Ovis aries: one gene and its partner. The protein of the gene in region 1 interacts with the protein of each later gene in a biochemical or structural test. Links are inferred from orthologs where the notes say so. Each region holds a gene or a part of one and is shown on either strand. Other genes may lie near its edges.

Region 1 (7,070 bases):
CAGACACGACTTAGCAACTAAACCACCGGTGAAGACAGGCCACCTGAATGAGCCACTTTTAGGAGTGGACTCTCAAGTCATGTGACAGACAGTGAGAGGGAGAGATCTGAGATCTCAACTGCTTCAATCTCCCCACATTGCTACTAGAGATGCACTCACCCTGAAAATGTGATCATCTCAAACCACCTTAAAACCCTCTCGAGTAACACAACCTTCTAAATCAACCATATGTCAACTGGGCTTCCCTGGTGGCTCAGATGGTAAAGAATCTGCTTGTAATGCGGGAGATCAGGGTTTGATCCCTGGGGTCAGGAAGATGCCCTGGAGAAGGGAATGGCAACCCACTCCAGTATTCTTGTCTGGAGAATTCCATGGACAGAGGAGCCTGGCAGGCTACAGTCCATGGGGTCACAAAGAGTTGGACAGGACTGAGCGCCTAACACTACTACTACTATATAGGTCAACTGAAAAAAAGCCTCCAATGGCAGCTCCCTGCCTATAGGGTAAAGTCCCAGGCTCCTGGCACATAGCCCTGTATCATCTGCCTCTGGGACGCCTCCCTGGCCTTGTCTCCTACGCTTTCCCTCCTAATCATCTCTGCCTCCTTTGCAAGAGGTTCCATGTGCCCACACCACCAGCATGAGCTTTGGCCATGTGGCTTACCTTGGCCAACAGCGTGAGAGCTAAAGTGAAGCCCACTCCTTCTCAGCAGACCTCTCAGGGCCATAGTTGTTTTGCTCACTCACGTTCTTTTTCCCTTCTCCCATAAACAAGATTAGTATGTACCAGAGAGAGGCTGTTTCTTCAGCCTTTAAAGTGAAAGTCACCCAGTCTTGTCCGACTCTTTGCGACCCCATGGACTGTACAGTCCACGGAATTCTCCAGGCCAGAATACTGGAGAGGGTAGCCTTTCTCTTCTCCAGGATTCTTAAGCCTTAATGGGCCCCAAAATGGAGACACATGAGGAGCAGAACCATGAATGACCTGCCTTGGACATGCAACATGGGTGAGAAATAACATGGGTGGTGGTAGCAAGCCACTGAGATTGGGACGGAGCGGGTGGGAGAAGGTATTTGCTCATTTTTCCTAAGATGACTATTATAGCACTTCTGATATCCTGTACTCTCTCTTTCTGGAATCCTCCCCTCTGCCCTACTCTTACTCCCAATCCCAGCTCAATTCTGTCTGCACAAGAGAATTGCCTGTTAGCCTACACTCAGCTCAGGTGTATCCCCTCAACAAAGTCTCTCTCTTTTTAAAAATTCTTTCCCAGGTACAGTTCATCATTCTTACCTTGTGAACCTCCTCTGTCTGCTACCGATCTATAACCACATCCCTGGAATGGCACTAGGGGTTTCTATTCATTAGCACCATCCTTAGAACGATTCCTCTTAAAAAAAAAAAAAAAAAAAAAGGTTTTTTTTGAGCCCTCATTTTGTAATGTGAGAGAGACTTTGGCTCAGAAAACTTCAAGCAACTTCTCCAAGTTTCCCAGCTGTCAGGGGCGGGTGTGGCTCTGAACTCGGCAAACTGCCCCCTGCCCCACGTGCCTCTCTGTGTCTCCTCCAGCACAGCTTTCAAATCCCCCCACTCAGGTGTAGAGGGACGGTCTTCTCACCAACAACTGAAAGGGCTGGTGAATTAATCTGACATTGGAAACATCTGACTTCCCTGGTGGCTCAGACAGTAAAGCGTCTGCCTACAATGCAGGAGACCCAGGTTCGATTCCTGAGTCAGGAAGAGCCCCTGGAGAAGGAAATGGCAACCCACTCCAGTATTCTTGCCTGGAAAATCCCATGGACGGAGGAGCCTGGTGGGCTACAGTCCATGGGGTCGCAAGGAGTCAGACATGACTGAGCGATTTCACTAACATTGTAAGATTTACTTCTGGAAGTCGGCTCCTTACCCTCTCAGATGAGAGTCACGTTCTCTGGGTGGATGTATTTATTCTAAAGCTCCTGGTAAATGTGCCGGAGACCCTAGGAGCACTGGGGCACTTTACCTGCGTCCTCTCCCCAGCTCTCAGGTTGTGGGGGTAATGTTCTGAGAAAGACAGGCAGGTTCCCACTAACATTACTCTAGAGCTGCCCTCCCCAACCTTTTTGGCACCAGTGACGGGTTTCATGGAAGACAATTACTCCACAGACCAAAGTTAGGGGTGGGGTTTTGGGATGATTCAAGCGCATTTACTACACGCTTTGTTTCTATTATTATTTCATCAGCTCCTCAGATCATCAGGCTTTAGATTCTAGAGGCTGGGGACCCCTGCCCTAGAGAATCTCTGGGAAGGTCCGCTGGGGTTTGTCGGGGGGTAGGAAACAAGTAGCAGAGGGCTCAGAAACCCAAGCGAGTCTGATATACATTGATATTTTAGCTTTTAAAAAGACAAATTCAAGGAGTGAAACATTTGACTCTTCAAAGAAAACAAGGAAAGTGACACAGTGGCAAAGAACCGAAGCAGACCACCGAGGTCAGAAACTGAAAAAAAAAAAAAACCTCAAGTGGGAACTGTAATTTTAGGCTTCTGTGAGCTGTTGGCATTTTGTTGTGTGGTTGGGCTTTTGTTTGCTATTCTCTTCTCTCTCTTTTAAAATTCACTTGTTTTAAGGGAGGAGTAGGGAGTATAACAATGCTCAAAGTTTCCCCCTTAAATCAGCCATAGTAATGAGGCAACACAGTACCATGATATAACATTCATACACATTTTTTTCAAGGGTTACAAAGTTTTCTCAGTTACTAGTTGGAATCTATTTATCTCTCACCATTCCAATGAAGCAGACTTGTTTTTCTTTTTTTTAATCCCTCAAAGGATATAGTACCTTTAAATGATACCATCAGTAAGATTATTTTTCCCCTTCAAGTGTAAAAAGCTGTTCAGAACTCCAAAGAGTCACTGGGCCAGTTTGGACAAGTCTGATTTACTCTTTAAAAAGGCCATCCGCTCCGTATAATGAACACTAAGCCAGCCTTTATGGAACACTTCAGCGCTGGCCTCAGTGTTTTCCAGCTTGGCTCATTTACTCCGCAAAGCCACGCCATCGGGCAGGTAAAGGCAGTGTTTTGACTTTACAGTCTAGAAGAGTGAAGCGCAGGAGACCACGAAGGACCTGCCTCGGAGAAAGAGACGGAGGCCACTAGCTGTACAGAAACCAGTTAATGATTCACTCACAGCCCTGGGGCAGCTCCTTTTAGTACAGGCTGCAACACACACACACAAACCACATCAACTCTCTTCATCTCAGCGAGAGGGGCGGGTGTCAGGCAAATCGCTTGGCAACGAGAGGAGGAAACTCCATCCAAAGGCCGGGTCCAGGCCGCCTCTGGGCGCTGTCCAGCGGGCATCGTGCCTGAGAGGCCAGGCTGGGGTCCCTGTATCCGGATACCCCGAAAGTGGGGCGCAGAACGCCAAAGCAGTTTTGGGGAGGGTTGGGGTGAGGGGTGGACGGTGGAGAAAAGCACAGTCCGCAAGGACACCTGTTGTCGCCTCCCTCACTAGGGCCCCAAGAAGACGTCCCGGGGACCCAGATCTCGGGGCGGACACGCACGGGCAGACAGCGCCTGTGTGCGAGGCAGGGTGTCCAGGGGTCACGTCTTGTCCCCCGACTCTGCACCCCTGCCCACCTTAGCGGACTCCCCTCGCTCGCTCTCACCGCTGGACGCCCGCGGCTGGGGGAAGCGCGTCTCCCCGGGGCATTCCAGCCGAGGCAGCTTCGGGGGGCTCCACAGGGGCTCGGGCAGCTCCCGCAGCGCTACGACCTCGCGGCCGGCCCGCCCCCCCGCCCGCTCCACCCGCGGGAGCCCGGAGCGCGATCGGCCTCCCAGCTCGGGGAGCAGCTACCTGCGGCGCGGCGCGCAGAGTCCTGAGGGTCCGCCGGAAGGTGGCCGCGGCTCAGCGGGAGTGGCGCCGGCCCCGGGGTGCCCTCGTCCCGCCGCGCGCTCCTCCCTGCCGCGCTCGCTCCGGGGCGGCCCGGCCTCAGGCTCCCCAGTCCGAGCTCGCTCTGCGCCCAGCGGCGCTGGGCGCCGCTCCCGCCGCTACGGATTGGCCGAGGAGCGAGCCAGAGCCGCGCGCTGATTGGTCTGCCGGGCGGTGGGCGGGTCCGACGCGGCGCGGACCCGCCCCTACCCCGACCCCCCGCGCCGCAGCCCCGCGGTGTCCTTTCTGCACCCGGAGCTCGGAGCTCACAGCCAGACGCTGCAACCCGGGCCCTGCCGCGCGGTCAGTGCAGCTCAGGCGTGCGGCCCGGGGGTGCAGGGTCTGGGGACCGCCCAGGAGGCTGTCCCACAGCCCGTGTCGAGGCTGCACGGTGCAGACTGCTGTTCCCCGTCTCACTCTTATATGAGGTTTTGACTCCTCATTCATTTAACGCTTTTACTCTCAGTTCAGTTCAGTCGCTCAGTCGTGTCTGACTCTGTGACCCCTTGGACTGTAGCACGCCGGGCTTCCCTGTCCATCGCCAACTCCCAGAGTTTACTCAAACTCATGTCCATTGAGTCGGTGATGCCATCCAACCATCTCATCCTCTGTCGTCCCCTTCTCCTCCTACCTTCAATCTTTCCCAGCATCAGGGTCTTTTCCAATGAGTTTCAGCCTCAGCATCAGTCCTTGCAATGAATATTCAGGACTGATTTCCTTTAGGATGGACTGGTTGGATCTCCTTGCAGTCCAAGGAACTCCCAAGAGTCTTCTCCAACACCACAGTTCAAAAGCATCAATTCTTCGGCGCTCAGCTTTCTTCACAGTCCAACTCTCACAACCATACATGACCACTGGAAAAACCATAGCCTCGATTAGATGGACCTTTGTTGGCAAAGTAATGTCTCTGCTTTTTAATATGCTGTCTAGGTTGGTTTGACTATATATATAGGCATACTCTCTCTCTCTCTCTCTCTCTCTCTCTCTCTATATATATATATATATATACATATATATAAGTTATAGAATTATAGCTATTAATCCTATGGGCCACCTGACTCATTGGAAAAGACCCTGATGCTGGGAAAGATTGAAGGCGGGAGGAGAAGGGGATGACAGAGGAGGAAATGGTTGGATGGCATCACCGCAGTGATGGACATGAGTTTGAGTAAACTTCGGAAGTTGGAGATGGACAGGGATACCTGGCGTGCTGCAGTCCATGGGGTCGCTAAGAGTTGGACACGACTGAGCGACTGAACTGATATATATATATATATATATATATATATATATATAGGCATAGGACGCAGGGCAGTAGCTCATAAATAGTGGGCACCAAATTGTGTTTCTAGACTCAGATCGTACTTGACACACAATCTTTGTGGAGCTTGCAAAGGGTAAGCGACTTGTCCAGGGTCCTAATCACGTTAAGAGATTACTAAGGACAAGAAGGACAGCGAGGCCTTCCTCAACAAGGAATCTTTACCTAGCTACGGAGATGAGTCTGATTAATAAAAACAACAACCCTAACGTTTCCATGATGCATAGTATTCGCCAGTCAGGTTTCCAAGTACTTTGCATATATTAATTCAGAAATGCATATAACAGCTGTCATAAGTATGCACACAGGTTCCTTGTGGACAAGAGACATCAGTTCTGAGTGCGAGAGATTTTCATCTGGAAGACAGTCGCCCTGCACTGCGATGGAGAGGCACAGGTCAGAACGGAGAGCAACTGTCAGGGGTTAAACCTGCCCGCATCTTCATCTCTCCTCCCATTTTACAGTCTCAGTCCTCCCAACATTCTCTCACACCTGCAACAAATCTTTCCAAAGAATAAAACAACCACTGTAAATCAGGGTGCTCCCAGAACTTTGTTCTACCACTCATCAAAGGACCCCACCCCATCCCCAAACACCCAGCTAGACAATGAGTATAAACAAATAGCACAGTTTCTATTTTACCTTTGACTTTGGTTGCAGTAATGTCTTCTTGACAGCAAGTATATAACCATTTTCCTACAGGTATTTCCCCCTAGTTCTTTTCTCCTGTGTTGACAGAACCCTTGGGAGAGAAATTTAGTTTAATAGAAAAGTTAAAAGACTCTGGTGAAAGCCAGCTTGACCCATTCTGAGAGCCTGATTTTTGCCCTAAGGATTAAGTATTACTTCCAAAGTGTGGTGTCTGATACTTTGTTACCCCATGAACTGCAGCCCGCCAGGCTCCTCTGTCCATGGGATTCTCCAGGTAAGAATACTGGAGTGGGTTGCCATTTCTTTCTCCAGGGGATCTTCCTGTTCCAGGGATCAAACCCGGATCTCCTGCATTGCAGGCAGTTTCTTTACCATCTGAGCCATCAGGAAGTGAGCTGAAACACACTTACCTTGAAGAGCTCAAGACCCTTGGAGAAAATGAGCTCAGTTTTCTCCAGTTTACATTAATGGATAAGCAATCAATTAACTTCATACTGAAAAGATGTATTGGTATAGTGAAGCCTTACCTGATAAAAAATGAGGGTACAACAGGCTGTATGAGGAAGTCTCTTTCACCAGCATCCCTCCCAAGCACCATGGGTGTGGCTTTGGTAAAGCAGAAATTCCATTTGGATTGATCATGCAGTCACTCCGAAGAAAAGAGGCTCCTTCAGCCAAAGAACTAGGCTAACCCCAGATGATTTCTTAAACTGATCAACCTTAGTCTCATCACACTAAACTCAGCCCCCTGGAAGGATACGTGGAAGATTCTGATTTCCTGGGACCTCCGTGGTGGTCCAGTGGCTAAGACTCCTGGCTCCCAAGGCAGGGGGCTTGAGTTCAACCCCTGGTCAGGAACTAGATCCTACATGCTGCAACTAAGAGTTTATAAATAAATATTTTTTAAAAAAGAATCTGGATTCCATCACATTCACTGTGAAACCTTCCTTTGGCAGGAACTCTTTGTGTATCCATCTCTCATCCCTGGCTCCTCTAGCAAAATGCTTTGCTTGGTTCTGCTTCTTGTGTGGGATTTCTTCCCTGGCTACTTGGCGCTCAAGACAACTAAAACAGCTCTTCCTCCATAAGGCCATCATTAGCTCTCCCAGGCAAAGGTAGGATCCCCTCACCTGTGTTATATCTTCATGACAGCATTCTAGTTTACATGGCTGTCAGCCAGTGGGA
Region 2 (7,251 bases), on another chromosome or scaffold:
AATATTAAAAGCATCCCTAAGACACTGTCATCTTTCATTAAATGATACTTTTTACAGAAGTACTCCCTAGTTTCAGCAGATTATATGCTACTGCCCATTAGTATTGAATCCCTTCAGAAAATATTACATAATATATACATATATATACACACACATACACATACCTATATACACACACATGTGTACATATATATATTCTAAAATACTAGTTGAAATTATTTATTTGGACTGCCATATACTTTATTCCTATTTAAATAGCTTTGAACAATTTCAATGGCAAACAGTTTCAACTAGAAAGCATCTCAGACGTTAAACTTTTGATACAGATGTATTTATGACAAGCAAATGATTGAAAAATTTTTAGAATCACCGTGTTTTAGGTATTTAATTTTAGTAAGCATTAGTTTTTAGCAAAACACTTGTAAAACCCACCCCTACATTATTCTATGCCAAAAAATCTAACTTTGGTCTTGGTGTTCTGTAATATTAGATCAAATTTGCTCTGTTATGTAACCACACTGTTTACTTTTGCTTTCCTTTCCCCAAATAATTTAATCACTACCATTAGAAAAAAATATATATTATGTTCCAATTTGGAATTAATGCTATCTCTTCCTAGCTATTACACATACCAGAACTCTTAAGAGCTCAAAGTATTTCAGGCTCACATAATTGTCTATGTTAAGTGTGAGATTTTTAAGATCAGATGGCTGTAAAAACCTAATTTGGGAATCCAGTATAAATCGATTTAGTACATTGAACTTAAAGGAGATGAATTGATGTTATATCTATGGTGTCATTAGGCAAGTTCAAATTAGCTTTCAGATCTAACATATTCTGCATTTTATTTATTACTCATCTGGTTCATTTTGCAAATACAATTAAGAGAAGTTACTATATTCTAGCTTTATTTTCAGTTAGCACCAAGTCTAATATGCAAATATTATAAATACCATAACCATTTTCATATTTCTGGACTAGAACTATCTGACAATTTGACCAGACAGAATAACTAATATTCTTCATTATGAAATGAAGTTCAAAACTACTCTGCAACAATTCTCTATTGTGTGGTATTTTATAAAATTAGTATTTTAGATTTCCCCTGTAGAGTAGCAACCTTTAGTTCTGATAAAAATACATTAAAGCCTAATTACCATATTTGCTCTGAAACATTAAGATGATTTACTAAGATATCCTTTTAAAGGGAGAAAAGATGAAAGTTGTATGAAACTGTTATACTAGAACATTTTATGGGATGACAGGGCAATAATTTCCTACAATATATTATTTAAAGTCTTACTTCTATCCACTCACTATTTATTGGAATTAGTTCTGACTTCCGGTATATAAAGGCGTAATTTTTTTTTTTTTGTAAGCATGTGAAAAACTCAAGACTCATGTGCATTTCTTTTACATGTCACTGCTATAATTAACATTTGTTAAGAGTTTCAAACATCAATGTCACAAACCAAGCCCAAATTTGCAACTTTCCTAAGACACAGTGAGAAATAACCAAGTAAAATCTTAATTTGCTCACATGGAAAGCAGTCGGTTTCCTTTCTCTCTTCATGTCTAAACTTGTTAATTCAGATGTACACATGTGAGGCAATTAGACGATTGTCCCTTTGTCCTTGTAACCGAAAGGTGGCACCTCTAAAAATTAGAGTTAGCTTTCAACAGAGGTACTACATTAAAAAGGAAAAAAAAAAAAAAAAAACCAAACAGGCATTTAAATGTCAAAGCCTTAGAAAGAAGATCTTGTTTCTGTGACCTGAGGTTAATTCTACTGAAATAGGAAAGATAAGTGTCTCGAATGGAAAATAGTTTAGAAAATAAAACCTATTACATTGATGGTAAATAAATGCAGCTCTTCTCTAGATCAGTGTATAAACTTGTCCACTTAAGATATATAGTGAAAATAATACTTTTTGGGATACATAGATTAGTGTGGAAGGTCAAGCAGAGTTGAAAAAGAAGGCTCCTTTTTCTTATCCCAAGTGGACACATTTAAAAAAAAAAGTAAGACTTGGCATTTCCTTTGATAAATCAAAGGGGAAGATTTATCTGGACACCGACATGTGATTTCTCTGCACTCATGTAGGATCCACTTGGAATGCTTTCCCATTGCATTGAACTAAGCACTTCTTTCTACCTCCTCCCATCTGACAGCCATCACTTATCTGTCTCAGATGAATAACAAGAAAGGAAAGCTTATACCATTGACGATGGAATTAGAAATTTCTGAGGCTGCCTTCAAGGTTCTGTCCACCAAGTCCTGTTCACTTAACCTATCATTCAGGCAGCCAGGGCAGAGTTGTTTTGACATCTTTCTCTGTATTATAATAAGAGATGAGAACAAACACATTTTTCCCATTAAGATTTTTGAAATTTGAGGCTATCTTCCTACCATTACTTTCTAAACTTTGTTCCAGTACAAGAGAATTCTTGGCCAACTGAGCCTCCATGTGCCTTCTAAATGGAGTACTAAAATTGTATAAGCATCACGTTTACATCTGTTAAATATACTTATTGAAAGAAAAGAAGGCAAAGCATGAATTCAATATCTGGGAAACAATGCAAACAGCAGAAAGAGAGAAGGAAATCATAATTCATACACAAATGCAGCTTTAACACAAAAGTTAAATGTTTGCTTTATTTTAAAGGGTTAATCTTCAAGAAAGTCAAAATCAACACATACACAAAGCTAACTAGATTAGCTTTCTCAAAGTAGAAAACCAAGCCTCCTGATAGGACTAGTGTCACTTAAAAATGTTTTGAAACTTTATACATATACATACATATATCTATATCCATCTATCTATCTATCTATATTGCTCCTCACCATAAAGGCCATACCAAAGAATCTCAGGAAATTAATGTTTTTAATTTTTTTTCTCTATTGGAAAAGCTTCTCCAAGTTCAGACATTACCACTGATGGACAATACCAAATAGCCCTACAGGACAGATGGAAACAGGAAGAGTCAAATGGTGGGCACTTAAAAGCAACAGCAATTAAGCAGTTGCAAGTGGGTTGAAACGGTGGTTTATTTTTGTTCCATTTGAAGGAATCAAGTGAGAGACACAGCCTCTTGCAAGGAGGAGATCAAGTCAAACTTGACGCTTCCCCTCTTTGCACATCTTGTCTACTTCCTTTATTCAGTTTAATTGCTTTCCCTATTCTAATTTTCGCAGAGGTTGTATTCTATCTTGTTCCTTCTCTCCTGCCCTGGGCAGGAAAGAAAAAAAAAATCTTTCTCCTTTCATCACTACCTTCCTCTTTCCTCTGAGAAAAGGCAATCCTCTCCAGGAGGAGAAAAAAGCCCTGTGCGTGCTTCGGATGGGAGGAGGGAGAAGAAGAGAGATTGAGAAAGGAGTTGGAGGGGGGTGGGTGGTGAGGGATAGAAATTGAGGGTGGGGGGCGGAGGAGAGGGGAGGAGAGAAGGAAAGGAGAAGATGGGGGATGCCCAACATCAACTCCAGGCTCTGAATCACAGGCGCCGTGCTAAGTGCTTCTCCGGGAGATGCACATGTGGTCTCATTACACTGCTCACAATAGGCCACCCGGGGCTCCCTTCCCAGGTCTCAGTCTCCCCCCACCAAAACCCAAGTGTGCCGAGAAGAAACCCTTCTGGACGGATTCAAGCAAATAGGCACCACCGAGGTGGCCGTGCCGCCACTCCCGCTGCCTTACCTGGAGCGGGGAGCAGGAGGTGGTGCCTGCTCGCTGGTCCCTACCGCTTCCCGGGGCTGACCGGTGCACACGACTCCTTTCGCTGCCTCTGCTCTTGGAGGGGCAGCCTGCAACACAAAAGGGGGGTGTGGGTGTGGGTGTGTGGGAGGTTTTCCAGGGCCACCAGCTGGTCCCAGCTGGCCGCCCTCACCCTACACACACCCCTCCGGGGCACCAAGCCCCGCTCTCCGGGGAGCACCACCCTGGGGGCTTGCCCCGGTGCAGTCTCAAGTTGCCGCTGCCAAGTGCTGCCGCCGCCGCTGCAGGAGGAGGAGGTGGAAAGACACTGGGGGCAGCACTCGGTCTAGAGCATCCCCACACTGCAGCTTCTCCAGGAATCCCTCCAGTGAGGAGGCGGCCGCCCGTCATCTCCCAGCCCCAGCCGCCTGATTGGCTCCACCGCCGGTACGCTGAGCCCGGGAGCCAATCCGGGCGCACTAATAATAGGTGGATCCGCGCAGCCAACAGCGCCCATCCCAGTTCTGTTAGTGTCTCTCCATCCCCACAGCGGACAGGGACTTGAGGAGGGGGTTGAGGAGCGTTGGGGGAGGGGGGTAAGTCTGAGGGGGTCAGATCCCAAGGAGACGTAATCAAGGGCATCCGATAAACCCTCTGGGTAGTTACAGGAATGCCCCGCAACCTGTTCAGCAAGCCATAAGCACAGGGGAGGGAGACAGCATAATAAAAAGCTTTTTTTTTTTTTTCCCCTCTCTCTTTTCTTTCTTTTTTTTTTTTTACTTTCAATCAAAACCTGCCCTGATACTGAGCATGCCCAGACTGCAACAGCGCCCTAGGAGTTCCGATGTGTGTGGGTTTGCAGGCTGTGGGTGTCTTAAAATGTGGGCGCTGGGAAGAAGAGACAGAAGTTTGTCTTTGGCTATTTGACCCGGAGGAGTTGTGAAAGCAAAGCAGGGCGGGGATAAGAAAGGAGTCCGCCGGAGAGTGCTCACCCTGAACCATAGGAAGGTGGCCCTCTGGGCCACTGGAGGCTGTTAATACCATTGTGTGGGTTCAAGGGTGGAAGCGGGGTAAGAATAATCGGAGCGTTTCTAGACGCCTGGAGACTTTTCTTGAATCAAGGGTGCGGTGCTTGGGAGATGCCGGGATGCGGGCATGGGAAGCTCCTTCCCCTAGGTGGGGCCGGGAAGCGACTCCACCCTGTCGCGGGGGCTGCCAGGCAGGGGAGAGCGCTCTGGGAGTTTCCACTGCGGCGACCAGTAAGTTTGTAGACTTAGGTCAGGTGCGACAACGTTGGGGATGCAGTTTCTGCCAGCTCCGTTCCCCATCTCTCCACCCCTTGCCAGCGACGACTGAAGCGTGGGTACTCCCCCTCCTTTCTCTCTTTCCCCTGAACGATTCTGCTCGGAAGTAAGAAGCTTTTCCCCTGTGACAGCAGTGCTGACCTGATTGCCTCTAAGCTCTAGGGCAATTTATAGCTTGGTAATACGGAGAAGCCAAACTGGGAGATTCAGCGATAGGGGGCAGGGACAGCAAGCAAGGCAAGGGGCGGAGCGGAACCTGGCTCCGGTAGGACCAGGTCCAGTCTCTGCTCCACAGGTGCAAGGCTTCTGAAACGCTGAGAAGTATCTCTCTCTCTCACCCACTGACCTTGTTTACTGGCCTTTAAACCCCTGACTTGTTTTGCTTAGAAATGCTTCCAGTTTGTGTAAACTTTGTCAATGGCTCCAATTGAGAACTCTCCTAATTGGGTTCTTTATTTTACTGAGAAGATTATCATGGCGTCTCAGTTAAGGAAATAAATAGCTATCTCAATTCCCCAAACCCATCCACTTTGAACTGGAGTTTCATTAACACTGGTTTGCAAAGGTAACTGTATCAAGAATTCAATTAACAGTAACACATTTCTTCAAGTTTTTAATTAAATCTCTGCAATTTATGTAATGTTTAGGATCCTTATTCTAAGTTTAGGGGAAAAGAAGACAACTTGATACAAATTAGTCGTTTTAATAACAAATGCTTGTGTATCCCCCCAAATTGTAACTAAACGTAAATATTTATTTCGTATTTTAAAAAATCCTCAAATCTTAAGAGTAATTTCATAGCTAGAGAAAGATAATAGATGTTAGTTTAAAATCAACTCAAGTATTTGATTAAGCAGAAAAAGAATGAGGAGGCTGAAGGTGGAAGAGAAGGAGAAAAAGAATGAATTACCAGTCTAACACTGCTTTCCAATAAATGTCCTCATGCAAAAGGATCATATTGAAGTGAAGTGAAGTCGCTCAGTCGTTTCCAACTCTTTGTGACCCCATGGACTGTAGCCTACCAGGCTCCTCCCATACATGGGATTCTCCAGGCAAGAATGCTAGAGTGGGTTGCCATTGCCTTCTCCAGGGGATCTTCCTGACCCAGGCATTGAACCCAGGTCTCCCGCATTGTGCGAAGATACTTTACCCTCTGAGGCACCTGGGAAATCCTAATAAAGATCTCTATTTTAAAAAATACTCTTGGCACACTCTCTAGATTCCAGTAATTAAAATGTTTTTAAAAGTTGTGTCCAATAGCTGCATGTGGAAACGAGTAAATTTGTTTTAGAATGAATTAGTAAGTAGAATATGATTCCATACTAGTTATCTGTTACAGACTCTGATTCTATCATTAATATCTTAGCCAATGTCTCTTCCTGTCTACTTCACATCCTATCCAATAATCAACTCTCTTTCAGTGGTCGGAATCCTAGACAACATGAATGGTGTTAGACGTTTGCATCCTAACGTTCCGTGCAGAAGGAACTAACCTTCCTGGTTAGCTGGCTAACATAAAAAATGGATTTTACAGGTACAGTATGATTCACTTTAGAATAAATAGTGTTTCTGATCATGAATATTAGGAAGACTCCACTTCCATACTGGATATTAATATACTGTAATTTTTACAGGACTAAGATTTTTATCCTTTCCTTTATTCTTATGTTTTCCCAGACTCTGGGAAGGAGCTAAAGACCTCCACCTGGGTTCACATACCATGCTATTCTGTTGCACAGGGTATATATCATCTTTGACTTTATAGCAGACTCACCTCCATTAAAAGAAAGATCAGGTCAATTGTCTTTTGTCTCTAACCAGTTTCTCGGGTACTTTTAAAATCTAGAATGCCTATGTCTTATGCTACTAAGATTGAATTCATTCCCTGGTCATACAGTATTTAAATATATACATATGTATATTTGCTATTTTAAAACTGCGTTGATTTTGTTCAATGTTTTCCTTCATCATTCTTTGCTGAAAAAACATCCTTGATCATTTTTCTGCTTCACAGTTTTGCTCTGAGATCTTATGATTTTCTTTATTCCCTTTTCAATGGACTCATCTATTTACTACTTTAATGTTCCCTTTGCCATCTATTTTAGACTATGGGATCAGAATAGAAATTAAATTGGATTGGGGCACTGAGGAGAAAAGTGTGTCTTATGGCAAGAGTGGGAATTAGAGACTTTAGAAACTAGAAATTCATTAAGTGCGAACATGGCTGTCTTCTGTAGACCATAGAAAGAATAAAT

What was found.
Region 2: the proteins of STON2 (region 1) and SYT1 form a complex in vitro, tested with the Homo sapiens proteins (2 studies listed by BioGRID). The link is inferred for Ovis aries from reciprocal best matches to the Homo sapiens genes STON2 and SYT1.

What each region holds. Positions count from the first base shown.
Region 1 is NC_056060.1:90,899,860-90,906,929, forward strand, and holds the start of STON2 (stonin-2), read right to left. Parts: upstream 4,003-7,070; 5' UTR 3,839-4,002; intron 1-3,838. UniProt on the Homo sapiens protein: Adapter protein involved in endocytic machinery. Involved in the synaptic vesicle recycling. May facilitate clathrin-coated vesicle uncoating.
Region 2 is NC_056056.1:114,925,341-114,932,591, reverse strand, and holds the start of SYT1 (synaptotagmin-1), read right to left. Parts: upstream 4,080-7,251; 5' UTR 3,696-4,079; intron 1-3,695. UniProt on the Homo sapiens protein: Calcium sensor that participates in triggering neurotransmitter release at the synapse. May have a regulatory role in the membrane interactions during trafficking of synaptic vesicles at the active zone of the synapse.